2 linked regions of the Lonchura striata genome follow. The protein of the gene in region 2 interacts with the protein of the main gene of each other region in a pairwise test. Links are inferred from orthologs where the notes say so. Each region holds a gene or a part of one and is shown on either strand. Other genes may lie near its edges.

What was found. The genes of interacting proteins can lie anywhere in the genome.
Region 1: the proteins of CREB3 (region 2) and TMEM234 interact in a two-hybrid assay, tested with the Homo sapiens proteins (2 studies listed by BioGRID and IntAct). The two-hybrid records come from large-scale screens. The link is inferred for Lonchura striata from reciprocal best matches to the Homo sapiens genes CREB3 and TMEM234.

Annotation. Positions count from the first base shown.
Region 1 is NC_134628.1:1,021,079-1,028,111, forward strand, and holds the start of TMEM234 (transmembrane protein 234), read right to left. Parts: upstream 2,965-7,033; coding exon 2,952-2,964; intron 1,779-2,951; coding exon 1,639-1,778; intron 216-1,638; coding exon 149-215; intron 59-148; coding exon 1-58.
Region 2 is NC_134642.1:39,588,268-39,596,130, forward strand, and holds the start of CREB3 (cyclic AMP-responsive element-binding protein 3), read left to right. Parts: upstream 1-4,847; 5' UTR 4,848-5,258; intron 5,259-5,940; coding exon 5,941-6,078; intron 6,079-6,160; coding exon 6,161-6,419; intron 6,420-6,636; coding exon 6,637-6,749; intron 6,750-6,962; coding exon 6,963-7,055; intron 7,056-7,562; coding exon 7,563-7,669; intron 7,670-7,863. UniProt on the Homo sapiens protein: Endoplasmic reticulum (ER)-bound sequence-specific transcription factor that directly binds DNA and activates transcription. Plays a role in the unfolded protein response (UPR), promoting cell survival versus ER stress-induced apoptotic cell death.

The DNA.
Region 1 (7,033 bases), on a different chromosome or scaffold from region 2:
GTCACCAGGGTCACAATCAAAGCCAGGGAGTTGCAGAGTGGCACTGCCAGGGTCAGGTCTGAAACGTGAATTCCGAATGGAGAAATTCAGTTTAATTCGGATTATTCCAAGGGAAGCACAAAACCCCCAAAGAAGCAGAGGAGCTGACCTGTGGAGGCCAAGGTGAGGTAGAAGAGGAGGGATCCGGCCTGGTTGAGGAGGAAGGGCAGCAGGCACTGCAGGACACGGAGGGGCACGGTCCCACCCTGGCACCCCGGGGGCGCAGGGGCGGCACTGCCGGGCCTGGCACGGGCCTGGCACGGGCCTGGCACGGGCCTGGCACGGGCCTGGGGTCCCGGGCACGAGGGGAACCCGCGGGGAGGGAAGGGAGAGGCCAGACTGCAGGAGCCTGAATGAGTTCTTTAGCTTAGTACATATAATTGTTATATTAATTATATAATATTTATTATATTTATTAAATTATATTTATGCTATTCTATTCTATTCTATTCTATTCTATTCTATTTATTATATAATATTATATATATTAATTCTATTATATTAGTTGTATTAATTATATTTTTTATATTATATATATTAATTCCATTATATTATAAATACATGAAAATATATTTATAATATTATTTCTATTACATTATATGTATAAATATATATTAGAAAATGAAATTATATATAACTGTATATAATATATAATATTATTGTTTATATGATATTATACTATATATAATATATACATATATAAAATTATATATAATAACAATATATATTATATTATATTATATTATATTATATTATATTATATTATATTATATTATATTATATTATATTATATTATATTATATTATATTATATTAGTATATTATATATAGTAATTGTATATAATATATAAGATTGTTTTTATATTATGTTATACTATATATAATATATAAACAAATATATATAATTATGTATAATAATATATTATGTTATATATAATATTATTATATGTTATAGTATAGTATATTCTAGTATAGTATATTTTATATATAATATAAAAATTTATATGAAATATGTAATTATATTCTATATAATAACTATAGGTACTATTACATACTATACTATTATATCTAATAACTATATTATAACTTTATTATGATACATTAATATACTATTTAAAGGAGATTTTAAAACTACAAACCTACTTTTTCTAGCTCCCACATCTAACTCCCAACTCGTGCCCCTCTCTGGAGTTCGAACACAGCTGGGTGGGCTTGGCCACCGGGCTCGAAGCATCCTCCCCAAAATCCACCCAAAGAATTCTCCAGGCGCGTTCCAGGTGGGAACGGCGAGGAGCAGAACCGGGAATTGATCCCTGTGCTCCTCCATGGAAACCCTGGGAGAAAGAACCGGCCTGGCACAGCGCCTGGCATGGGGGGGATTGAGCCCGAGGAGGAGGAGGGTGTGAGGAGGAGGAGGGTGTGGGGATGAGGATGAGGAGGGGGTGGGGCCAGGGAAGGGAAGGGAAGGGAAGGGAAGGGAAGGGAAGGGAAGGGAAGGGAAGGGAAGGGAAGGGAAGGGAAGGGAAGGGAAGGGAAGGGAAGGGAAGGGAAGGGAAGGGAAGGGAAGGGAAGGGAAGGGAAGGGAAGGAGCGGCTCTCACCCCGCGGCTCCGGCCGAGCAGCCGCAGCTCCTCCAGCAGCCCCCGCGGGCTCCGCTCCCGCCGCTCCTGCGCCCCCGCCCGCAGCCACGGGCCCGAGGTGCCCCAGAGCGCGGCCACCAGCGCCAGGGACACAGCCTGCCCTGGGGACAGGGACAGGGTCAGGGACAGGGACAGGGACTGGCCTGGGGGACAGGGACAGGGTCAGAGCCTGGCCTGGGGGACAATGGGGACAGGGTCAGGGACTGGCCTGGGGGACAATGGGGACAGGGTCAGAGCCTGGCCTGGGGGACAATGGGGACAGGGTCAGAGCCTGGCCTGGGGGACAGGGACAGGGTCAGGGACTGGCCTGGGGGACAATGGGGACAGGGACAGGGACAGAGACTGGCCTGGGGGACAGGGACAGGGTCAAGGACTGGCCTGGGGGACAGGGACAGTGTCAGAGCCTGGCCTGGGGGACAATGGGGACAGGGACAGGGACAGGGACAGGGACAGGGTCAGAGCCTGGCCTGGGGGACAGGGACAGGGTCAGAGCCTGGCCTGGGGGACAATGGGGACAGGGACAGGGACAGGGACAGGGACAGGGACAGGGACAGAGACTAGCCTGGGGGACAGGGACAGGGTCAGGGACTGGCCTGAGGACAATGGGGACAGGGACAGGGTCAGAGCCTGGCCTGGGGGGACAGCAGGAGCTGGAATTGGGCAATTATCCCCAATATTTAAATGGACCAAACTCCTAAAAATGTGAAAACTTGTGATGCACTGTCCACCTTGGGTCTAGCCAAGGCCAGGCTCTCATGCTGCCCAAGCTGTATCCTGCCAAGGCTTTGAATAAATCCCTGCTTTCCTCTTAGGGTTAGAAGGAAAATTAAGCTTTGTAGGCCCTGGGAAAATACCCTGGGAAAGTGTAGGCCTTGTGCTTGCTAGAACTGCATCTAGCTAGTACATGATAAATGATATAATTGTTAGATGTGATGATTGTTAAGTGATTAAATATAATTACTGTTTAATCGTAAGAATAATCATGATAAACTGCGGTCAGGGCCTTGAGAAAGACCACGAGAAACTCATGCTTGAATAAAGCCAATGTATACAATACAACGATATAAACTGAATAATGAATATACAAGTTATATAACGACAGAATACAAAACACGCTCAGATTCGGGTCTGCACCCCTGATTCCCAGAGATCTCCGATAAAAACACCTGTAGAAAAGCACATCCCGTGATTACGTGCGCTCCTGAACAGCTCACACAGCCACCTTTCCCCCCTTCCCCAAACAAACCCTCCCCGCCGCCATCGCCGCCACTCACCCACGGTCGCCATGGCAACGCCGCGGCACTTCCGGCTTCCTCCCGGAAGTCGCTCAGTTGCCGTGACGTATTTCCGCCATCTCCCCGGAAGTGCCGCTCCCCCTCACGCCTCAGCGCGGCAGCCATGGTGAGACCGGGGTGGCGGCGGGCTCGTTTCTCGCGATTTTTAGTCGCCACCGCTGATTTAACAACTCCCAGCCCCCGGTCCGCGGCTCCTGGGCGTGGGGGGGCGGCAAAGCCGCCCCCCCGCGTCCCAGGAGCCGCGGACCGGGGGCCGCGCTCGCTCCTTTCCTCCTCACCCCCATTTCCCTCGCGCCGCTCATTGATTATTCCATCATTAATTACAGAAACCCATCCTGCTGCAAGGCCATGAGCGCTCCATCACTCAGATCAAATACAACCGCGAGGGAGACCTGCTGTTCACCGTGGCCAAGGATCCCGTGAGTGCTCGGCGTCCCCGGTAATTATCGTTAATTTTAATAATTGATTTATTAATTTATTTTTTTTTTGCCGTCTCCTCGCAGATCGTCAATGTCTGGTATTCGGTGAATGGAGAGAGGTTGGGGACTTACAACGGGCACACGGGAGCTGTGTGGTGTGTGGATGCCGATTGTATCCTTTGATCCTCCCAAAAAAACCGGTTTAATTCCATATTTTAGTGGCTGAATCATTCCCGGCGATTCCTCCTCATTTTCCTCTCAAAGAGGAGCAGCTCACTCTTCTTCTGCCTCTTCTTTTCCCATCCTTTGGGTGTTTTTCCATTGGGAATAAATCACAGATTTGGAATAAATCATAGATTCCCATACGGAATAAATAATATGTTTCCATATGGAATAAAAAATAGGTTTCCATTTGGAAATAAATAATAGATTTCCATTGGGAATAAATGATAGATTTCCATTTGGAATAAATAATAGTTTTCCATTGGGAATAAAAAATAGATTTCTGTTTGGAATAAATAATATGTTTCCATATGGGATAAATAATATGTTTCCATATGGAATAAATACTTTGTTTTCATATGGAATAAATAATAGATTTCCATATGGAATAGGTAATAGGTTTCCATTGGGAATAAAAAATAGGTTTCAATTGGGAATAAAAAATAAATTTCCATATGGAATAAATTATATGTTTCCATATGGAATAAGTAATAGATTTCCATATGGAAAAAATAATAGATTTCTATTTGAAATAAATAATAGATTTCCTTTGGGAATAAAAAATAGATTTCCATTTGAAATAGATAATAGATTTCCATATGGAATAAATAATAAACATCCCAATGCATATTTGGATTTATTGTACCTTTTGCTGCTTCCCTGGATATTTGGGGAGATTTTCCCACGGGCAGCAGAGATAAAAGTGTGGAAAAATGTAAGAAACTGATTCTTTTCTTTTCAATTCATGGGAAAACCATGGGATTTTGCAGTGGGGACACTTGGGTTCTGTGCTGCCTTTCCTGGACTAGGTTTTCCCAAAAGAAACCCCCCAAAAAATCCAATTTTTGGGTGCAGAAACATCCAGCGAGTGGCCGGGCAGTGGAATTTGGGGTGATTTTCCCTCAGCGGTGGCCCAGGGGACACCAGGCACGTTCTGACGGGCTCTGCAGACAACAGCTGCCGCCTCTGGGACTGTGAGACAGGTGAGGCCACCCCAAAATCCCCCTGGGGACACCCCTGGGGGGCAGGACACGGGAATGGATCCCCTGGAGCTGGGGAGGTGTTGGAAGGAATTCTTCCCTCTCAGGGAATTCCCTGGGTTTGGCCTCAGCCCTGGAAGTGTCCCAGGCCACCTGGAGCCACCTGGGGTGGGTGGGAGGTGGCCCTGCCCAGGGCTGGGGGGGATTTTGGTGAATTCCAACTCAAAGCATTCCATGGGGAGCTGGGAATGGCTCCCTGAGGGATCTGCAGCTCCTCCTGCTGTCCCTGAGCTCTGCTGGGGCTGGGGTTGGCACAGCACGGGGATGTGGAGCTGAATCCATGCCTGAATTCCCACCCACAGCATCCCAGGGTCCTGTTCCATGTTGTTTTTAGTGAGGCAATCACTTCCCAGCTCCCTGAAAATTCCTCTTCCCTGTTAAAATGCGAGGCTGGAAGTGGCATAGAGCAGGGATGTGAAACTGAATCCATTCCTAAATTGCCTTCCCACCTAAAGCACTCCAGGATTCTATTCCATGATATTCCATAGTGTTTTTAATGAGGGAATAATTTCCCATCTCCTTGAAAATTCCTCTTCCTTTTCCCTTTTAAAATCTGAGCCTCCCCTGAGCAAGGCTGGGATTGACACAGCACAGAGATGTGGAACTGAATCCATCCCTAAATTCACTTCCAGAGCATTCCAGGATTCTATTCCAGGATCTCCCAGGATGTTTTGAATGAGGGAATAATTTCCAAGCTCCCTGAAAATTCCTCTTCCCCTCCTCTTAAAATCTAACTCTCCCATGAACGAGGCTGGGATTGACACAGCACAGAGATGTGGAACTGAATCCATCCCTAAATTCCCTTCCAAAGCCATCCAGGATTTATTCCATGTTCTCCCAAGGTGTTTTTAATGAGGGAATCACTTCCCATCTCCTTGAAAATTCCTCTTCCCTGTTAAAATCTGAGTTTCCCATGAGCAAGGCTGGAAGTGACACAGAGATGTGGACCTGAATCCATCCCTGAACTCCCACCCAGAGCATTCCAGGTCCCACTCCCTGCCCTCCCAGCTGGTTTGGAACGAGGGAATGAGTTCCCAAATCCTCCCTCCCATTCCCTTGTGCTCCCCCAGGGAAGCAGCTGGCCCTGGTGAAGACCAGCTCGGCCGTCAGGACGTGCGGCTTCGACTTTGGGGGGAACATCATCATGTTCTCCACGGACAAGCAGATGGGCTACCAGTGCTTCGTCAGCTTCTTCGACCTCCGGGACCCCAGCCAGATCGGTGAGGGGCCAGGGAATCCCCCTCAGTGATCCCACTCTGCTTTTTGGGGTTCAATCCCACCCCCTTCCCATGGGCAGGGGTTCCTTCCCCCGTCCCAAATTGCTCCAGCGCTTCCAGGGATGGAGCAGAGGAGATGCTTCACTAAAAAAATTCTCTTTGCTGCGTGGCTGGGAGTGGTTTGGGGGTGATCACGTCAGCAAAGGACACAATTCCTTCCCTATTTCCCTGTGGGATTCCTTTGGGAACAGCAGAATGCTGCCCCTGAGCTCCACAAATTAAAAGAACCAAGGAATCCAGGCTTGAAATGCTGGAAAAGCCCGAATCACCAAAAATCCCCCCCTTGAAATGCTGGAAAGGCACAAATCCCCAAAGAATCCATGCTTAAAATGCTGGAAAGGCACAAATCCCCAAGGAATCCCCCCTTGAAATGCTGGAAAAGCCCAAATCACCCAAGGAATCCATTCTTGAAATGCTGGAAAAGCCCAAATCCCCCCTTGAAATGCTGGAAAGGCACAAATCACCAAAGAATCCCTCCTTGAAATGCTGGAAAAGGCCAAATCACCAAAGAATCCATGCTTAAAATGCTGGAAAAGCCCAAATCCCCAAGGAATCCCCCCCTTGAAATGCTGGAAAGGCACAAATCCCCGAAGAATCCATGCTTAAAATGCTGGAAAGGCACAAATCCCCAAGGAATCCCCCCTTGAAATGATGGAAAAGCCCAAATCACCCAAGGAATCCATTCTTGAAATGCTGGAAAAGCCCAAATCCCCAAAAATCCCCCCTTGAAATGCTGGAAAGGCACAAATCACCAAGGAATCCCTCCTTGAAATGCTGGAAAAGCCCAAATCCCCAAGGAATCCCCCCTTGAAATGCTGGAAAAGCCCAAATCCCCAAAAATCCCCCCTTAAAATGCTGGAAAAGCCCAAATCCGAGCCGAGCAGGGGACCTAAGGGGACAAAGGGTGGGCGCAGCCCCTGAGGGTGGCTGTGGCTCCTCCCCACAGAGAACAACGAGCCCTACATGAAGATTCCCTGCAGCGACTCCAAAATCACCAGCGCCGTGTGGGGCCCGCTCGGGGAGTTCATCATTGCTGGCCACGAGAACGGGGAGCTCAACCAGTTCAGTGCCAAGGTCAGGGCCTGGGGCAGCATTCCTGGGGG
Region 2 (7,863 bases):
AAAATATTCTCAAGTTAAGCATAAAGCTGCTTTCCATCCCTCTGCAGGAAAAGGAGAATATGCCACTGAGAAGACAAGGTCAGAGACCATGGAGGAAGGAGTGCAGGATGTCGGACAGTAGAGAGGAACTGAGAGGAGCCAGGACATCTGCCACTAGTTCTGCACCCTCCTCTTGCCCTCACAAAGCCACCCAAAACTAGGCACTGCACCAGAGGCACCCCTTAGCACACCCTTCACAGGGGTCACTGTGCTTCCCAAGACCCCACAAGAAGATGACTGCTTATGCCTTCCCACTCTCAAACACTTAAAAAAATTCGAGCTCAGCAGGGAAGATGCTGATGACATCAAGGAAAACCTCAGAGAAAAGGGAGACACTTCAATTTCCATATTCTATGGAAAAAGTTAAGGCTCTAGCAGCTGAACTTTGCTGACAGCACTGTCTAGAGCAGGAACATCCTCTGCTGCAAAAGGACACCTCCTTAAATTGGGGTGAGATTTGTCAGCAAAGCGCGGCAACTAATCACACAAGGTTTGCAAATCTGCTGCCTGATGTGAGGGCATCAATGAAGGGCTCAGCCCCTACAGATGTTTCCCCTCCACGAACCTTGCGGAGAGAGAAAAGCTGAACTAGATGTAACAAATGAGACAGCGTGGGAGCCTGGCACTGCAAACCAGAGTAAAAAGGACAGTGAAACTCAAACTGACCCCTAGAAAGAAGAAAAACAAAAAAATCCAAACAAACCAAATCTTGATGAACACGCACCAAATTTTTGCTGGCTCATCTCCAGAGAAAGCAAACCCATTCTCAGTCAAACCTATTCTCAATCATGTTGTCATTATGCAAAGTCAGATAAGGCACCGGAGCAGCCGGATTAACACACTTCTGCATTTTATAGCAAGTTGTGCGCAACCCTTTTTGAACCACAGGCACGCTTCTGAGCCAATCCCAAAATGCTGAGGGGGAGGGGTTAACCTTGGTGGGGTCCCACCACTTCCCCAGGAGCTGCTGCGGCTTCCTCCATCTCACCCCACGCAAGGTGAGCAAAACCAAGACAGCGGTGGAGGCTCCAGGCTCTGCCTCAGAGCAGGGCCAGTGCAGGCAGGGCTGTGGGCAGACAGGACATGTGTGTCCCAAAGAACCGCGTCATTGCTGGGGACCACTGACAGTGAGTTTTTGGTCACACGATGGAATTACTGTATTTCTGTTGGATGACTTCACTGCTGAAGTAACAGTTACATTTGAAGGGTTTGCGTCTTAAAAGACAAAAAAAATTAAGCAAAATTCAACTGTGGACAGCTGGAACACTTGTGATGAGTTTCCAGAACAAGCTGCAAATCTTCAGATGCAACAGTTCTGCCATTTTTATTACGTTCTCTCTTAAGGGATACTTTGAAAGAGGTTTTGGAATGGGGTTTGGTTTTTCCTTCTTTTATGGTAATACCAAATTTCACCTGGGAAAGGCCCCACTGCAGACCACCTCTGGACTAGGAGCTGGCTGCAGGAAGCTTCATCAGCTGCAAACCATCCCAGTGCTGGGGCTTTCCACAGGCACAGCCCAGCCAGTACAGCCACTGGCACAGCTAGGAAGATACCAGGCCACCAAAACGCAATGTCTGCAACAGTGGCTTGGCCAGCATGTAAACATCTGCACACCATCAACACCAAAAATTAAGCTGGTAAGAAGCCAGACTAGGCTCTAGCTGGGTTCTCCTGTGTTCTCCGGTGCAGGACCAGTATACACAGCCACAGCAGGCAGAGGTAGGCAGAGCTCAGCCCTGCACCAATGGGAAGACTGAGCCAGCAGCCCCAGCTGGTTTAGTGTCACACGCTGCTGAGACCGTTCAACCCAGTTCCTCTTTCCCAGCTGCATGTCCACGTCAGATGGGAGGACAGTTTCTTCCAGCTGAGGCTGAGCTTGCTCCTGGGGAGCATGAGTGGCTGTCAAGGCCAGACACTGCACCCCCATGACCACTCCGCTGTTAGCCATGGCTAGGACAGGCGCATCCTCTCACTCCTTCAGGGAGAGCAGCCCTGTTCTGCATGGGAAATGGGCAGGGGCCAAACAGCTGGGCTGGAGGATCGCAGCCGCAGCCTGCCTGCCTGCTCACATGCACTGAGCTGAAGCAGCTCCAGCTATTGTCTGCCAATGTTTCACACACATCTCACATCCTGTCTGCTCCTGCTGGGCATCGCTTGACCTCCAAAGGAATGGAGCACAAATCATGGCACCTCTAGACTGCCCATGATGAAGGCAGGCATGGTGGGACCCCAGCTGCAGCCTCTCCTGCATCCTTAGCAAGCTGGCCCTCTAGCACAGGACTCCAAGAGCAGGAGTTGAGTTGCAGTGGATGCTGTCATGACCTCTGGAAAGCACTAAGTGCCCTGATCCAAGCACCCATGCTTCCCACAACAAGCAACTTGCCCAGCACTGTGCTGCTGGACAGGCAGAAAGGTGAAAGAAAGAAGAGAGCATGGCTGCATTTTTGGGTCATTTGCTGGTCAGCAGCCAGCAAAGCTCAGTTCTGAAAAGAAGGGCACCCCACAGGCCTCTTTTCATTTTCCTCAGCCTTCCCACTCCCCCTTCCCTAAATCTAATAGGATATGTCACTTTGGGGAGCATCAAATTCCTGCCACTGCCATTCAGCAAGGAAACTGATGCTTGGGTGGTACTTCCCATGCACCATCACAGATTCACTCAGCACTTGGGCGGTTTCACCCTATGATCCAGGGAAAGGCAGGTGGTCTGGAGCTTTTATTAGGCAGCTCACAGGTTTTGCAAAACTAAAGATCCCAAAAATATGCGCCCTTCCCTTCTCAGCAGCAAGGCACAGAGAGAGAAGGGAGTAAACAATTATCGCTACCAAATATGGGTCTAACAGGCAGCGATGAAGACACGGCAAAAGCATGTAGACATCCTGCCGGCAGATTCAAAGGGATGGGGAGCTTGCAGGGGCTCGGGCAGGATCCGGCAGGGAACAGGCAGAAGATGGGGCAGCGTTTCTCCCTGCTTGGTTAGTTGTCTCAGCCGGGATATGGTGGGGACCCAAGCCTTCCCCGATTAGGGCCAGTCCCACCCTGCATGGGAACCACCCCAGCGCCCCATCCTGGGGCCTATAGCCAGCTGTGTGTCCTAGTGAGAACTGTTCGGGTGACGTCCCTGGCTTCGGTGTGGTCACGGGAAGCCCTGGTGTCCCCACCCAAAACCACGCAGCAGGACACGGACACCCTTGCCACGCGCTTTTCCCCACGTCCCCGGCAGGGTGGGCGGGATGCCCCGGGAAAAGCCGCGCCTGGCCTACGCGGACTGTTGGCCACGGCCAGGCTTGTCCAGCTCGGTCCCCAGAGACCCCCGAGGTGGGGATGCTGGCCCGGGCCTCGCCACGGTGGACTCCAGGCCAGAGCCTGCTGAAGCAGGGCAAGTACAAGGCCGGGATAACGTGGCCGGGGATAACGTGGCCGCGCCAGCCCATGTTACCCCGGAGCCTCCGGCGGGTGTCGGTGCTCCGGCGGCGCCGGTGCCAGGGGCGATCTGGGCATGCCCCAAAGTCTGAGCGAACCCCGGAAGCCCTCGGGTCACCGCAGCCCCACGGACAAACCCCGGTTGGAGCAGGGAAACCCCGGTAACCGGAAAGCTGCTTCCTCCCTACCTCCCCGCCACGTACCGGGGGGGTGCAGGGCAGGGTCCCCAGGACATCCGTTTCCGGCAGCCCCCCGAGACTCAGGGCCCTACCGGTCCGCAGGACCCCACTCCGCAGCCCCCAGCCCCCGGTTACCGGGACACCGAGTGTCCTCCGTCCCCGTACCTTTGCGCGGGCAGGAGCAGCGCGGCGGCCCCGCGTCGCTGAGGGGAGCTGAGCGGCCGGCACCGCCCGCTTCCCGCCCCCCCCACCCCGCCACGCGCATGCGCCAGAACGCGGCGCCGCGCTGCACGGTGCCTCGGCGCTGCGCTCCATCCGGACACCGCGCCACGGGCAATCCGCTCCCACGGACAGCGCTCTGTACCCGCACGACTCGGCCCGACGCCCCGGGGCTGGTCACGGTTCCGCGCCCGCGCAGCGTGGCCGTGCTCCACCTGCTGCTCACATCGCACTCCCGGGCGCCCGCCCGCCCCGGGACACCCCCGGGGCTCGGCATGACCCCGGACCCACCGCCCTCCCTTCAACCCGTCTCCCCCATTCCCTCCGCTCCCCTCTTTTCCCGCCCCGCCCCGCGCTCCCGCCGCCCGCGCGCGCTCCCGCCGGCCACGCGCCCCCCTCCTCCTAGCCAATAGGCGAGCGGTGCGTCAGCGCGGGAGGAGCCGGGGCGGCGCGCGCGGGGCCCGCCGGGACACTGGGTGGCGTCACCGCGGGGCGTTGGCAGCGGCGAGGCGGAGGTGAGGGGCGGCTGGGCGCGGGCTCGACCGGGGGTCGGGGCTCCGCTGCTCGGAGGTCCCGGCGGTCCGGGCAGCCGGGTCCGGCCCGCAGCCGGGGCTGAGACGGGCTGCTTGGTTCTCCTCGGGTGGATGTGCCCGCCCCTGCGCTCCGCTCGCCTTTCTGCCGCACCTGCTCCTCCTGTTCCCGTCCTGCCCGTGCTGCCTGCCCGGCGCACGCTCCCTGGGGGAAACCGTCTGTGGAAGCCATGGGCCCTGACATTGCCCGGATTTGCCCAGCTCCTCTTCCTCTTGTTGCTGAACTTTCTGCTGACAGCTCTCCCCTTAGTCAGCTGGCTCAGCAGTCCTGGCTGGGGACTGCGCTGGCCCTCTGGTTTTGGGAGGGGTTTCAGGTGGTTTTGGTGGTATTCTATTTTTTCTGGGTTTTTTTTTTTTTTTCAGACCGTGACACTTGACAGCTAGATGTGAAAGCTTAGCAGTGCTGATGGAGAGGTGCCATGGATGCCTGTGCTCTGACAGCCTGAGTGGTGCCTTGGCTCAGGCATCGCCCACAAGCCGGCCGGGCTGATCCCGCCGAGAGCCATGCGAGGCCGCATCTCCTCAGGGACCGAGGCTCCTGGGCCATGCCTTGTCAGGACATAACAGCAGCAGCCCGAGCTGGGACCAGGCCAAGCTAAAGCTGCCACAGCCACGCAGGTGCACAAGCCCCAGGGCAGTGTTTGGCTGCAGGTCCCTCACTGCCCTCCCCGTACCTGTGGCCGCCTCCAGCCGCTGAGCTCTGCTGCTCTCACGCCGCTGGGCCCTGACGTCCCTGGCAGCAGGGACAGCTCTCCAGGTCACTCCTCAGGGCAGAGAGATTCTTTACCAGTGTCTGATCTCTACAGTAAGGTAAGGAGCATTTTACTTTCAGCCTAAAGGTATACTGTGTGCTAGTGACCTTTATATATATCCATCTATTTATTTGTTTCATCCCCTTACTTATTACGAGTGTGTTAAACAGTACTGTGTTTGACAGCTGTCTGAATTGCTAAGTCATCATATAGGTCTGTCAAATCACTTATTAATTACCTTTCAATGATCACTTAATCACCATTTGATTGCCATTTAATTTTTGCTCAGTCATCGATTACTTAGAATTTGATCATGATTTAATCATTAACAGAATCCCTTTGGTTAAAACCTCAGCAAAGACTGTTCTTAATTTTCCTGGCACAGGAAGCTCTCGCTGCATACCAAGGGGTATGGCACCTTCAGGTTTCTGTGGAACAGCAGAATCTTGCCTGCTCTCCACACCATTAAGTCTGGGATTGTTTCATTTTTCCTGTCCTTTCTGCAGCTTTTATGCTCTGGGTGGAGCATGGCTCCTGTGGCTGGGTCCAAATAACCTTGTATTGTCACCATTGGTGCTATAATGGCAGAAGGAGATGTTACCTGGCTGGAGAAGTACTTGTGAACTGGCCATTCCTGCTGTTGACATTGCATGGGGATACTTCATAGGGTCTGAGGGACACCTTAAAGCAAGGCTGGTGTCTCCTGTTGTGTCTGTGCTCACTTTGGGTGTCCTGCTCAGATGTCATGCCCAGAGGAACTGGATGCCCTGGCAGATGTGGATCTGCTTGACTTTCTTCTGAAGGAGGATGCTCCCTGCCCTGAAATCCCAGGGGAGCAGAATGGTCTGCTGGAAGACTGGGGCCTGCCAATGCCTGAGGTGAGTTCTTTGTAAGGAATTGCTGCTGAGCTGAGGTTTAGGAGGTTTGTCTCCCTGCTGAGTAAAAGCTATTCCTCTGCAGCTCCTGGACAAGGAGATGGATGACTTCATCAGCTCACTGCTGAGCCCTTTAGAAGATGAACCAGACAGGCTCAGTTACTTGCCTGCCAACAATGACAGCAGCATTTCTGAGGATCAGCTTCTGTCCCATTGCCTCAATAGCAATTTTGCGAGCCGAGACATTGTGCACGTTGATCATAACTACTCCCTTCATCAAGAGTGGCCTACACTGGAAAGTGTGAGGTCTGACATGGCAGAAGGAGATGTTACCATTGAGCTAGGTGAGTGATGTTACGGACTCTTTGTGCCCTGGCTGCAGGCAGAAAAGAGAAAAGTAGTCCCATACTGGTTTGTTTTGGGGGTGTCAGGCAAAGATGGAGAGAGCCAAGATTAAAGGCTTTCTGCTGTTATAAAATTGCTATTTCATGCCACTCAAAGCTGGCTGGTCAGGTGCTGCCTCAGTGAGGCCCAGCATTTGACTCATCTTTCCTTCCCCAGGGGCATGGGTAGGTTTGGAAAGTACAAGTGAGGCACTGGAACAGAGCACCAGTTCCCCCGTTGCTGTTGCTGTGGAAGATGAACCCCAGCTTGTGCCTGGAGCCATTGTACAGGTACTGACTCCCATGCCTGTGGACCCCAGCCTTTGCTTCTCACATTTCTCCTTCTCTTCTGACTTGGCTCCTGTGAGGGGTATCTCTGAGGGAAAGCATGACATTACTTTGGAAGAGCTGATTCCAGTTCTGTGTGTTTGCTATGTGCCCTTGCTGGCGGATGGACTCCCTGTAGTATGCATTCTCAGTAGGCTTATTTTTGCTGTTTTCTAGTCTGACTTCCCAGAGCTGGTCCTGACAGAGGAGGAGAAGCAGCTCCTGGAGAAAGAAGGTGTTACATTACCAACCTGTCTGCCACTGACCAAAGTGAGTCCTCACTAGAACCATGCAGACCACTCTTAATGTATCAGGTATCGTAGGGGTTTGAAACTGCAGGACAGTGCCTTGATGAGAATATGTTGTCCAGATGCTGCATTCCAGGCAGTGTTCATCTGGGCTCAGTGTCCTTTTCCTTCTTTCGAGTCCAGGGCATTGTCCATGTGCACAGCAGCTTCTGGCTGCTGTCAGTCTCCAGACTTGTGGCTGTTTGCAGGAGGCAATTACACCACGAGTGCCTGCAGCTATTTTTTCCTGCTTGCCTAGTGGCTTGTGGTCTGTGTGCTTTTCATTTTCCTTAGGTACGCCTTACTTTTGCTGAGTCACGGAAGCTGCTGGCTGCACCAGCAAGGCCAGGGTTTGCCTTGCAGTTTATTCACTGGTGTACGAAGGACAGAGGACACAAGCACTAGGGCTGAGGATTGATATGTGAGCGCAGTCTGAGAGGGTGGGATTGCCAACACCCTGGGATTGCTGTTAATGAGGTGAACCTTGCAGGCTGAGGAGCGAGTTCTGAGGAAAGTGCGTCGTAAGATTCGGAACAAGCAGGCAGCTCAGGATAGTCGTCGCCGGAGGAAGATCTATGTGGATGGCCTAGAAAACAGGTATGGTCACACAGGAGTGTCACCAATACTGAGGGGACCCGTATGTTCTTTTAAGGGATCCTTGGCAGAATGATGATGGCCCTTAATTGTCATTTCAATCAGAACTTCATTTTCCTATCATGTTATGATTAATATAGCAGAGGATTTGTGATTACAGTGGCACAGTTTTTCTACAAGCAGAATCAATGTAGTAC